Linked DNA regions of Callithrix jacchus. Each later gene encodes a partner of the first gene's protein in a complex. Links are inferred from orthologs where the notes say so. Each region holds a gene or a part of one and is shown on either strand. Other genes may lie near its edges. The genes, in order: GNAO1, ADRA2A and P2RY2.

Region 1 (3,842 bases):
TGGGTCTTTCTATCGGCATAGAAATGAGGGGGAAATGTTTCAGAAGATGAAAAAAGGAAGAAAATCTCTCATCCAGAATCTATTCAAAATTCATTTTGTGTGTTTGGAAGGGGGAAAACAGAAGAATTCAGTGCAAAGAGGCCTCCACCAGACTAAACCGTCCAACATCTGCAAAAGCTTTTTAAATAAAACTGCTCAGGGATCAGGGGTTTGCTGCAAGCTCCCGGTCGCTTGAAGCCCTGTCCCTCCGCTCCGGGCCCTCACGCCTCCGAGGGTGGGCACCCCTCTTGCACGGAGAGCGGCGGCTGGGATCTCCGAGCAGGGTCGCCGACGGCCCTGGAGGCAGCGGCTCCCGGAGAACAGGCCCAGGCTTTTCTCGGCCCGCTGCATTCCTCTCCTTACAGCCTTGGCTCTCACATAGTAGGTGCTCTATAAATGTGGACTAAGGACTCGAAAAGTCCGAATCTGTCCTCACGCCCCAGAGGCGAATTCTGGTGCGCGAGGTTTTATTGCAACCCACTACCACATCGCGTCTCCTGAGGTAACCTGACCTCGGCTCTGCGGCCCCAGCAGCTGGAGAGCCACGGAGAAGGCGGGCTGCGGGAGACAAGATGGAGAGCCTGCGGGAGAGGGACAGAGGCCGCGCTGGCCGCGAGCTGGGGGGCCCACCTGACTGCCGCGCTGCCTGCCCGGCCCAGCACTCCCATTGACAAGGAGGTCCGCGCCGCCGCCGCGTGGGGCGGGGGCAGGGGCGGGGTAGGGCGCCCCGGCGCGCGCCCGGCCCCACGCCCCGCCCCCGCCAGCCTCGCACGCGCCCACCCCCGGGGAGCCGCGGGCCCGGAGGGCGCTTGGGGGAGGGGGGAGGATGCTCCGCGAACGCGCGTGCGCGCCTCCGCCGGCTGACGCGGACCCCCGGCGCGCGCCTCCCCCGCCCCGCGTTCTCCCAGTCCCGGGGGCTCGGCGCGCGGCCCTGCTGACGTCAGCCGGCGGCCCGCGGAGCCGGGTGCGCAGAGTCGCTGGCTCACTCGCGCTCTGCGCTCGCCTCCTCCCCCAACCCGGGCCCTGGCGCGGGCGCGCTCCTTCGCTCTACCATTTTTTTTTTTTTCCCCTCCCTCCCTGCCTCTCTCTCTCTCTCCCTCTCCCTCGAGCACCCGGCTGGCCGCGGCTCCCTGGCGCTCTCCCTCTCTCCGGTAGGCTCACCGAGCGATGAGAGCTCTGGGAGACCGCAACGCCGCCTCCCGCTAGAGACCTGCCCCCCGGTCCGGCCCCCTGCCCAGCCCTGCCCAGCGCGCGGGGGTCGGCGAAGGCGCCGCGGACGCACCGACGGCTGAAGAGCGGCGATGCACATGCACTAGCAGCACCCCCTAACTCACTCCCTCCACATCCCGCGCCGCCGCCGCCGCCTCCGCCACCTCCTCCTCCGCCGCCGCCACCGCCTCCTCCTCCAGCAGCCGCGGCAGCAGGACCCACCCTGCCCCCCACCCCACCCTCCGTCGGCTCCGGCTGCGGCTCCAGCCTCGACTATTATTTTATTTATTTTGGGTCGTGCACAAGCCTCAGTGCCTGCAGCCCGCGCCTCCTCGGCCCGCGGGCGCCTCCTCCCTCGGCTCCGGAGCCCCTGACTCCGGCCATCCTCGACTCGACACCCCCAGATCCCCACCAGCTGCCGCGAGTCTCCGCTACTGGAATCTTGTTAGCGGCTGTCTTTTTGGGGGGTTCTGGTTACGCGACATTTTTGTTTCCAGCCCAGGAGAGGATATCGTGATTTTCCCCCCTTGAGCCCAGGCTCTGCTCTCTGGGGGGGTGGGGGGCGCGCCGAGCCGGGGAGCCGTGCCAGCGGAGTTGTGCGGGCTGTGGCAGGGAAGGGGCCACCATGGGATGTACTCTGAGCGCAGAGGAGAGAGCCGCCCTCGAGCGGAGCAAGGCGATTGAGAAAAACCTCAAAGAGGATGGCATCAGCGCCGCCAAAGATGTGAAATTACTCCTACTGGGTAAGAACCGCCGCTACCACCCCCATCCCCCGACCCCGGCCACTCCGCACCCCTGCCGCCAGCTCCTCCACCCCACCCGCAGCCGGTAGACCTGGTCCCTAAGTTGGCACCACCATGTGCCCAGGATCGCCCACCCCCTCGCATGCCTTAGCCCCCCCCCCCCCGTTCCTTTAAGCTGACACTCACCAGTTTTTCCCCACTGTCTGTGTCCCAACAGGGGCTGGAGAATCAGGAAAAAGCACCATTGTGAAGCAGATGAAGTAAGTCCCTGTGGCACTGGGATTTGTACTTTTATTAAGAATAATTTTTAAAATCGTTTTTATTACCTTGCTTACTCCACATTGCTCTCCAGGCCTGTTTTTTAATTCGTGCACACACACGCACACACACACACACACCCCTATATTTGACTCCCCTCCCCCACTCCCTACGTTGGTTCTTGGTCCTCCACCCCAACTACCGGGTGGGTGTTTTTTGGGAGGGGGAAGGGGAGCGCCTGTAGTTGTATGAATGACAGCGTCCGCCATATTGATCAGAACATCACACTATTGGCATGAATATGATCATTACTCTTGCTTGTGGAATATTTTGTGTCTCACTGCCTCCATTTCTGTGTCTCTGTTTCATTCTGTCTCTATTTCTCTCTCCTCTTCCCTCCATACCTCCCTATCCCCGAAGGTCCGTAATCCCGCTTCCCCCTGCTCTTCTCCTGGGGCAGTGATTTTGAACTTGGCTAACATGGAGGGGACCCAGCCCTAGACTGGGGTGGAGGATCAGGTGTCTGCTGTTCATGCGTTTGGTGCTGAATTGGAGGCTGTGTTTTCTACGTCTCCTCGCCCCCCCCCAAAAAAGAGGGGATTAGGGGAGGGGTCGTGTGCTAGGGGAAGGAGTGGGTTTCCAAGCGGTAGTGACTGGCACAGTTTTATCCAAGGTAGAGGTGGAAGGGGGAGGGAAGCTGCCTGTGAGGCTGAATGTCCGCCCCTTGCTGCCCCCAGCTCCTCTCCTCCCCCACCCTCCCAGCATTGCTCTCCTGATACCCGCAGTTTTCCTTCGCTCCGTGGCCTTTATCAGTGTATTTATTTACACTCTGCATAGGCCATGTTCCATGCAATCTACTCACAATGCGGATTTCAGGCCCCACTTTCCGCCGCCCCCTTCTGCCTTAGCTATCAGTTTCCCCTCCTAATTAACTGGGGGTGGATTTGAGTGATGGTTGAAAATTAAAACAAAATGGGATATTCCTTCCCTTCCACACTTTCTCAATAAGGAGCCTCGCCCCTCCTTCCCACTCGCAGGCTCGCTTCTTGCCCTATTCACCCGGCAGTTCCTGGTGAGCCCACAGGCAGCTTTGCTTGGGGAGGGGGTGGCTGGCCGCAAAGAGGTGTGCGCCCTCGGGGCCTCCTGCTTCCGTTGGCCTGTCAGTTCAGGACGGAGGAGTTCGTTAAGACCGTTTAGCGAAAATTCCATGTCGCTTTGCTGTGACACCTTCGTGCACACACAGCTCCTAATTAGGGGTTGCCGTACAGTAAACAAAAATGATTATTTTTCAACTTGACAGAGTAGCCGAAGTAATTGCATCGCGTAGGGAAACAATGGAAAATAAAAACCCCTTTCGTGGGAAGCTGGGAGTGGGAGACGAAGCATGCTTGCGGTTTCAGAACCAAGATGCAAAAAATCTTGCATGTGTAACAGGCATGACAAGCGGGTTCTAGGCGGCGCCATGATGGTAGGGAGTAGCGACTCGGAGACAGTTTCCCCATCGGCTTGACATGTTCTTATTTTTGTTCGAGAGCTCCCTAGGGCTTTCTTCGAAGAGGCCCCTTCGGCTGGCCGCACCCTTCTGAACCAAGG
Region 2 (3,842 bases), on another chromosome or scaffold:
CGCCCACCTGAAGGGGGCTGCAGAGCAACCCCAGGCGAGGAAACGCAGAGCAGGCAGGACCCGGGTCTCCGAGCGCCCTGGGGCTGAGCACCCCCCAATGCCCGCTGCCTGCGGTCGGCACGAGTCTACGCGAGCGCCCGCAGAAAGCTCACACGATCCGCTTCCTGTCCCCCCGGCAGAGGATCTTCTTGAAGGCGCGGCGGAAGTCGTGGTTGAAGATGGTGTAGATAACCGGGTTCAGCGAGCTGTTGCAGTAGCCGAACCAGAAGAAGAACTTGAAGAGCGTGCGCGGCACTGAGCACCCGACGGCCGTGAGCGTGTAGGTGAAGAAGAAGGGGAACCAGCACACCACGAACACGCCGATGACCACCGCCAGCACGAACGTGAAGCGCTTCTCGCGGTTCTGACGCCCGCGCCAGCGCGACGCCTTAGCAGCCCCGGCGCGCTCCTCCCCCGGCCCCGCCGCCGGCATCCCGAGCCCCGTGGCCCCTGGCCCGCGCCGCGGCAGGCTGTCCCCCGGCTTCACCTGGCTTGCCCGGGCCTTGCCCTTGGCCCGGGGGCCGCGCTCATGTCTGCGGGGCCCTGGGGGCCGCTCGGCGTGGTCCGACGACGAGCTCTCCTCCAGGTCCAGGGCGTCGGCGTCGCGCGGCCCGGCCGGCGCTGGCTCACCCGGGGCGCCGTTGAGCTGGGTGGGCAGCGGCTCGGCCTCAGCGCCCGCCAGGCCCGCGCCGCGCTCAGGGCCCAGGCCGTTGGGCCTGCTCTCGGCGCCCCCCGGCGGCGCGGCGGTGGCGGCGTCTGGACCCCGGCGGCTGGGCGGCACGCGGGTACGACGCTTGGCGATCTGGTAGATGCGCACGTAGACCAGGATCATGATGAGGCAGGGCGCGAAGAAGGAGCCGATGCACGACGAGATGACGTACCACTTCTGGTCGTTGATCACGCAGCGCGGCTCGGCCGGCTGCTGGCCGTCGCCGCCGCCCTTCTTCTCGATGGAGATGAGCGGCGGGAAGGAGATGACGGCCGAGATGACCCACACGGTGACGATGATGGCCTTGATGCGGCGCGGCGTGCGCTTCAGGTTGTACTCGATGGCCTGCGTGATGGACCAGTAGCGGTCCAGGCTGATGGCGCACAGGTGCACGATGGACGACGTGCAGAAGAGCACGTCGAGCGCCAGGTAGATCTCGCACCACGCCTTGCCGAAGTACCAGTAGCCCATGACCTCGTTGGCCAGCGAGAACGGGATGACGAGCGTGGCCACCAGGATGTCGGCCGAGGCCAGAGACACCAGGAAGAGGTTTTGGGGCGCCTTGAGCGCGCGGCTCGTGAACACGGCGATGATGACGAGCACGTTGCCGAACACGGTGAGCAGCATGAGCAGGCCGGCCAGGCACACCAGCGTCAGCGTCACCTGCAGGGAGTAAGGGGTGGCCCGGGCGCCGCCCCCCGGCGCCTCGGTCCCGTTCCAGCTTGCGTTGCCGGCGTCCGGCTGCAAGGAGCCCATGGGCGCAAAGCTGCCCTCGGACAGCGGCTGCTCCTGGCGGAACATGAACGCGGGTGCCCGCTCGCCTGGGCCTGCTGCCAGCTGCCTTCCGGCCCGGCGCCCGTGGGTCCTCCTCTTCCTCCGGCGCCCCGCTCGCCTGGCCGCGGCTCACATAGGGAGGGGGCCGCAGGGAGGCCGGGCCCGATCTAGGGGACCGCTAGCGGCCCATGGCCCGGATCCCGCGAACTGCGCCTGGCCCGCGCTTCGGACGCTCTCGGTGGGCGCCTTCTCGCTCGGAGATCCTAACACAGCCAAGTTTTATTTCTAAGCGGCGGGAGAGAGTAGGGCGAGCCGATGGGTTAAGAGAGATTTATTCTTCAAGAAGAGAGAACAAAAATCATCGGTGGCCTGATAACTTGGAAGGATGACAGGAAATTAAATATACATATACATATCAATATCTATATTTTGACTCTTGAGCCTGAGCGAAAGCAAGAGGTCTTACCGTGTGCGGGGCCCGCCCCCACCCCGGAGGCAGCTGAGGGGTGCTGATGCGAGCTCAGGGTCCTATGTCTGTCTCCTTAAATCCCCGAAGCGATTACCGACTCTCTGGCTTCCCCCAGACGCTGCGGTGCTGGCCGGGCCCGGCCCGGGTCTGAGGCGCTGACTCTGCCGCCTCTCGGAGCGCCGCGAGACTTCCAAAGTTGTGCGCCCTGCTGCGGCTGGGGCGCACTGTGCTGAGCTCGGGGGCGGCGGCGGCGGCGGGGTGAAGAGTGTGGGGGCCGCATGAAGGCACCCCGGTCCTCAGGCGGGCTGGGGCAGGTGAACGATCAGCTCTTCAGGAGCCGCGACGGAAGCAGGGGATCTCCTGGGCGTCGGCTTGGTGGGAGCCGAGAGCGGCTGGATGAGCCGGGGACCGAGGACAGCGCGAGTTGGGGCAGGAGCGCAAGGCTGGGGAAGAAGGCGCTGGAGTGGCCGGGCGGCGGCGCGCCGACTGCTCGGCGTCTGCACGGAGACGGGGCCGCTGCTGCTCCGCTGCGCTCACGGTGGACACGTTTTATAGCCCCAGGATCAAGCCGGCGTTGCTGAGCAGCCGGCGTCAGCCCCCACGTGGGAAGCCGACCCTCCCCCGCCCCTCGCACCACCCCTCCGCCAGTCTAGCGCCCGCGCCCAACGTGGGACCCGGGGAGCGTCGCCCTCAGGCGAGATGAGCCCTTTGGAGAGGCGGGTACCTTGAACCAGAGGCTTAAAGGGGGTGGGGTCAGAGAGTGGGGAAGCGGCCCCTGCTGGGAGTTGGCGGTGCAGCTCCGGGCCGACGGAGCAGAATGCAACGGGCACCCGTGAGTGCCCTCTTGGAGGTGGATCTTGGAAGAAAGGGGAAGAAAGAGTGGAGGGGAATCCCGGCCCAAATCGAGGGAAGCAACCTCTGGTGTGAGTCACAGCTGGAGCCTCCTAGCCCCGAGCCAGAGCGGACCGGGCCCGCCGGTGCTCCTAGCGGCTGGGGACAGAGGGGTCCTGGCGAGGGAGGAAGGCGCGGGTTCGGATAGAACGCCTGGGGCGGAATGGACAGCACCCATTACGCCCGGAGGCCAGAGTTCAGAACTCCGCTTAGGGGAGAAGTGGCTACGTGTCCTCCCAGCCGCCCAGCTGTCTACGGGACACGCGCGACCTGGGGTCTGGACTGCGCCCCTTAGACGAGGTGGGGAGGGGGTCCTGGAGCCGAGCGCCAGGGCAGAGCGAGGACGCACTGACACCTGCTGGCCGCTCGTGGTCACGGCTGGAAGCGACCCGCTGACGCCGGGCGCTTTCTCCCTTCTCTTCGATCTTCTGCCTACAGAGCCTTCTCCTATCTCAGAACAAATTGTGTTCTAAGCTCAGAAAAGGAGAACCCAGATTTTGAATTGCACCCTGCCGTGTTGCAGAAATCTTCCTAAAGCAGCGCTAGTGTGTCTACTCCTGGCGGGAGTGAGGGTTTGTCTAATAAAGAAGTTACATCAGGAAGGGCTCCGCAGGCACCGCCGGCCAGAACCAGCATCCTACCCTGGACCTGCACACCCCACCCTTCCTGCAGATCCGAGAGAGGACGGGATCCTGCCTCCTGGGTTGCCCAGCTCTGACCTGCTGGGAACCATTATGTTTTTGTTAAGGCAAGAAAGCTAGACTCCACCCTCCCACCCCACCCCCATTCAGATGCACATACACAGCATCCTTCAGTAAGGGGAGGAGGGAGTGGCCAAGGAACATTTTCCATGTTCTCTCTGATGGAGGTGGGGGCAGCAGAGAAAGGCAAGTTTTTCCGTGCGTGCTAGTTGTCCTAGGATTGATTCAAACGGTCACTAGAGCACTAGCTTGCACTCTG
Region 3 (3,842 bases), on another chromosome or scaffold:
AAACTCGGGCTCATAGAGGAGTCATGGGACAGGTGAGGCAAGACTGGAATCTAAACCCAAGGCTATGGGGTTCAAGGACTAGGCTCTTTCCTCTGCTCCTCAGGCCTAAGTTACCTGTGTGGTAGCTGAAGCCTGTATGTCTCAGGGATGCAGTTTCCTCAGTTGTAAAGTAAGGGAGTTGGGCCACAGGAGGGGCAGAGCCCTGGGCAGGCCACCAGCCAGGTTTGCCTGCTGAAGGCTTAGGTAGAGCCTGGGTCCTCATCTTGATGTCAAAGAAACTGGTTTCTCCAGGGCTAAATGGCAGTGACAGTATAAGGTTTGAAGTTTTGGAAGGAAGAAGAGAAACAGGGAGTTGGCTGGAGTTCCAGTGCCTAAAGGAGCTTCCCCACACTGGAACCTGAAGACCTAGGCCCTGTAACTTGGGCTATGAGGATACTTAGGTCCCTGGAAGCTGTGCGGTGCAGCTTAGACAATAGGCAGAGGAGGCTGGACAAGGGGCCTTTGTGTGTCCCAAGCAAAGGTCCCAGCAGGACTGCAGAGGCGGCTCAGCCACACTAGGCTGTGTGTCCACTCTGCTCCTGCTCCTGGCTGGGCTGCAGCCAGCACCCTTCCTGGACCCCTCCTGGACTGGCAGCCAGGCCCAGTCAGCTGATGTGGAGCCCAAAAGGGCCCAAGGCCCCAGGGCCCTGGGCAAGCTCCTTGGCTACAGGAAGAGGCCTCCTCTGCACTTGTCCAGCAACGCTAATGATTGATTCCATTTCACAGGAAAGGAGACCCTGAGAGGGACTGGAACTGGGTCAAGGTCTCCCAGAGTCAAAGCTGAAGCTGGGCAGGAACCTACACTCCTGATTCCTAGACCAGAAATGATAGAGGGGGGCCCTCATTCATTCATCCATCCACAACTTCAAGGATTGAGCACCTCCCAGGACCTGAGTCAACAGCAGGAAGAAGGCAGACCTGGTCGCTGCCCTCGGGAGCTCACAGTATCGGAAATGGTCAGACATGGGGAAATGGTCAGACATCAGAGTAGGGTTGAGGGCGGAGAAGAGAGTTAAAGCAGCTCAAGATGAGGGGCCAAAGAGAGTTGGGAGTTCAGGGAGCTGCTGGTAAGATTAAGGGAAAGCAGGGAGCACGGGAGGCGAGATCCTGAGTGCCCTGCTTTCCTTCCCAGGGTAGTGGGGAGAGGCACCACCTGTCTCCACTTTCAAGCAAGGGAGGTGTGTCCTTAGCCTGGGGTTCGGAGCAGATCTCTCAGAGCAGGTCCCTTCCTGGACAGCCGGGCTGGGGCAGGGGCGCGACAGGGGTCGGGTGGCGCGGCGGCTGGGAGCAAAGGTCCCGCAGTGGGCCACGCAAGCGCATAGCGGACATGGCAAAACTTTGGCGTCTCTGAAAACCCCTCCTTACCCGCTCCCTTCTGGCGTGAGGGAGCCAGGAGGCCTCCTTCTGGCCGGGCAGTGGGACGGTCGCCGCCCGCCCCTCGCGGTGCAGCACCGGTACAGACGCGCTGACCCCGCGGCCGTGTCGCTGGGTGGCGTCCCCGAGCGAGTGGCGAGGTGTCTACCCAGGCGGGTTGGGGGCGGTGCCAGGGTCGGTCAAGAGTCCGCCCCGCCCCCTGCCTGGCTCGGCTGGGGAACTGGGCCGGGAGGAGGCAGCGGGGCTCCCAGGCACGTGGGTCTCTGCGGCTGCGGCGGCTGGACGCTGGCACTGGCACCTGGGAGCGGCGGCGACGGCACCCCGGGCGGAGGGGCGCAGCTCAGTGAGGAGAGGTGGGGCGCCTGGAGGGAACAGGGGGCAGGGAGAGGTCGGCGGGAGAGGCCCCTGGACGCGGCGGGCCAGACTGGGGCAGGTGCCGACTGGGCGCGGGGCAGAGGAGAGCCCTGTGGAGCCGCTGTCGCCCCGGCCACCGTTGCGAGCCGGAGTGCAGCGCATAACTGGACGGCTTGAGCGCGCCTGTGGGTCGGTAGTTGAACTTTGTCTCCACGGGAGCGTCGGTCTCGATGAGTGTGGACCGGCGCCCGGTAGTGAGGAGAATGTGCGCGTCCGCGTATTGGGGAAGTCTGCGTGTTAGCGGGTGTGTGAGCCACTGGGGGCGACTGGTCTAGCCTGCGGAACTTGTCTGTGTGTGCTCAGATGTGAGCGCCCCCGTGGCGTGGGGTGGTGGGCGGTGCCCAGAGACACGAACCCCTGGAGACCCACTGCCCCTGCCCCTGTCCTGCCCCCAGGGTCACTCTGGGTGGCCGCCTGCCATGGTAAGGTTGAGGGGCAGTTGCAGGGAGTGGGCAGGGGAGGAGGGAGTGGCGAGGAAGGACAGTTAAGCTTCTGTCCCGGGACTTTTAATCTGGCAAATGGTGCGGTAGGAAGGGTCAGTCAGGAGAAAGGCGATGCCCCACCTCCCAACCCAAGGGCTGCCGGTGGCCCTCTTGGGGTCCTCCAGGAGCGCAGCCCAAGGGCCAGGGACTGCTGGGAACCCGCGTTGCCTGCTCGGAACCTGTGGGGTCCGCTGTGCAGTTCCTCTCGGCATGGCCTCTCCAGATTCCTGGGACCACAGCCTGATCTACCTGGTTTGTTTTGGATCTAAGCTGAAATAATGATGAGCTTTTGAGGATCTGGGTGGAGCCCCAGGCAAGTTTATTACCTGTGGGGTGAAGTGGGAGGAAGAAGATTCTCTGAGCAGACAGGTCCACAGGAGAGCTCTGGAGACTTAGAGATCTATGTTCCAATCCTGTCTTGGCCACTCTGTGGCCTGGACAACGCGTCCTTTCTCTGAACCTCAGTGTCCTCCTCTGTAAGAAGGGACTAATGATATGGAATTTGAGGGCTGTTTAGGAGCAGAGTTTGTCTTGCTCAGCACCACTGTTCCCCCTGGGCAGGCTCACAGCTTGGGGATGGGAAGCTAGTCCCTGGAGGGAGCCTCCCAAAACCAGAATCCCAACTCTGTCCCTCCCTAGGGCACAAGACTTCCACAGGACCAAGCCTGAAGCCTGTAGCCTGGGACTTAAGGCCTCTGATAACTGGGGCCTGCCGATCTTTCCAGCCACCTCTCCCGCCTGAGTCTTCACCTTGCAGCAGCTGCCTGTAGTCTCTCATTTCTTGCCCCTGGCCTACTGCATATTCTATACTCCCTGCCTGATAAGCCCTCCTACTCCTTCCTCAACTGGAGAACTACCCAGACTTGGGACCCAGCTCAGATGTCCCCTCCTCTGGCAAGCCTTCCTTGATCCCCCCCCAGCTGTGTAGGAGCCTCTTCTAGGCCCCTAGAGTCCTGGTGCTGACAGCCCTCGTCCCACCTGGACTGTCATGCTCTATGTCTGCCTCCTCCTTTCTTCTTTGCAGGTCTAGGGGCTCCTGGAGGGCAGAAACTGGGTCTGACTCATTTCTGTGTTGCCAGCACTCTGCACAGGGCTGAGCTGAACTGAGAGAACAGCAGGTTTCTAACCCCAGCTTCTCCAGTAAAGGCTTGGCTGCAGAGGAGCTCCATGTCACTACAAAAAAGGGCAAACCAGAATCTGGTTACCTGCTACTGGGTGGCACAGGTTGCCAGAACAGTGTGATCTGAGACACTATAGGACCCAGAGTGCCCAGGCTAAAGACCTAGATTTCATCCTGAAGGCAATAGGGAGCCATGGAAATTTATGAGCAGAGGAGATTCATGGTCAGAGCAGCATTTCAGAAAGAGCTCTCTGGCTGCAGGATGGAGAATGGATAAAGAAATGTCAAGGACAGGAGGTCAGGGTGTGTGTGATGTTGACACTAGAACCGTCCCAGGGGTTGTTTAAACTCTAATTGAGCCCTTGCCCCTTGGCCAAACACTTTTCCCTGAGCCTTCAGATGCTCCTACTGGG

Evidence for each region.
Region 2: the proteins of GNAO1 (region 1) and ADRA2A are in contact, whole or in part, in a cryo-EM structure (PDB 7W6P), measured with the Homo sapiens proteins. The link is inferred for Callithrix jacchus from reciprocal best matches to the Homo sapiens genes GNAO1 and ADRA2A. Residues at the interface, in NP_066268.1 of Homo sapiens: Ile28, Lys32, Lys193, Asn194, Leu195, Asp218, Phe336, Thr340, Asp341, Ile343, Ile344, Ala345, Asn347, Leu348, Gly350, Cys351, Gly352, Leu353, Tyr354; in NP_000672.3 of Homo sapiens: Arg77, Arg146, Ser149, Ile150, Ala153, Ile154, Asn157, Leu158, Arg160, Pro162, Ile234, Ala238, Arg241, Arg383, Arg386, Phe387, Val390, Leu391, Phe444, Asn445, His446.
Region 3: the proteins of GNAO1 (region 1) and P2RY2 are in contact, whole or in part, in a cryo-EM structure (PDB 9K20), measured with the Homo sapiens proteins. The link is inferred for Callithrix jacchus from reciprocal best matches to the Homo sapiens genes GNAO1 and P2RY2. Residues at the interface, in NP_066268.1 of Homo sapiens: Ala31, Lys32, Asp33, Val34, Leu195, Gln305, Glu309, Glu318, Ile319, Tyr320, Cys321, His322, Met323, Val334, Phe336, Thr340, Asp341, Ile343, Ile344, Asn347, Leu348, Gly350, Cys351, Gly352, Leu353, Tyr354; in NP_002555.4 of Homo sapiens: Asn66, Ser68, His130, Arg131, Gly134, Val135, Pro138, Leu139, Leu142, Arg143, Met221, Arg224, Leu225, Ala229, Tyr230, Gly231, Thr232, Ser233, Pro237, Ala239, Lys240, Lys242, Ser243, Arg245, Thr246, Leu308.

The regions. Positions count from the first base shown.
Region 1 is NC_133521.1:14,059,921-14,063,762, forward strand, and holds the start of GNAO1 (guanine nucleotide-binding protein G(o) subunit alpha), read left to right. Parts: upstream 1-975; 5' UTR 976-1,873; coding exon 1,874-1,991; intron 1,992-2,177; exon of another isoform or gene 2,178-2,208; coding exon 2,209-2,251; exon of another isoform or gene 2,252-2,369; intron 2,370-3,701; exon of another isoform or gene 3,702-3,842. UniProt on the Homo sapiens protein: Guanine nucleotide-binding proteins (G proteins) function as transducers downstream of G protein-coupled receptors (GPCRs) in numerous signaling cascades.
Region 2 is NC_133513.1:104,006,461-104,010,302, reverse strand, and holds the start of ADRA2A (alpha-2A adrenergic receptor), read right to left. Parts: upstream 2,518-3,842; 5' UTR 1,550-2,517; coding exon 149-1,549; 3' UTR 1-148. UniProt on the Homo sapiens protein: Alpha-2 adrenergic receptors mediate the catecholamine-induced inhibition of adenylate cyclase through the action of G proteins.
Region 3 is NC_133511.1:67,737,842-67,741,683, reverse strand, and holds the start of P2RY2 (P2Y purinoceptor 2), read left to right. Parts: upstream 1-1,623; 5' UTR 1,624-1,766; exon of another isoform or gene 1,767-3,842. UniProt on the Homo sapiens protein: Receptor for ATP and UTP coupled to G-proteins that activate a phosphatidylinositol-calcium second messenger system. The affinity range is UTP = ATP > ATP-gamma-S >> 2-methylthio-ATP = ADP.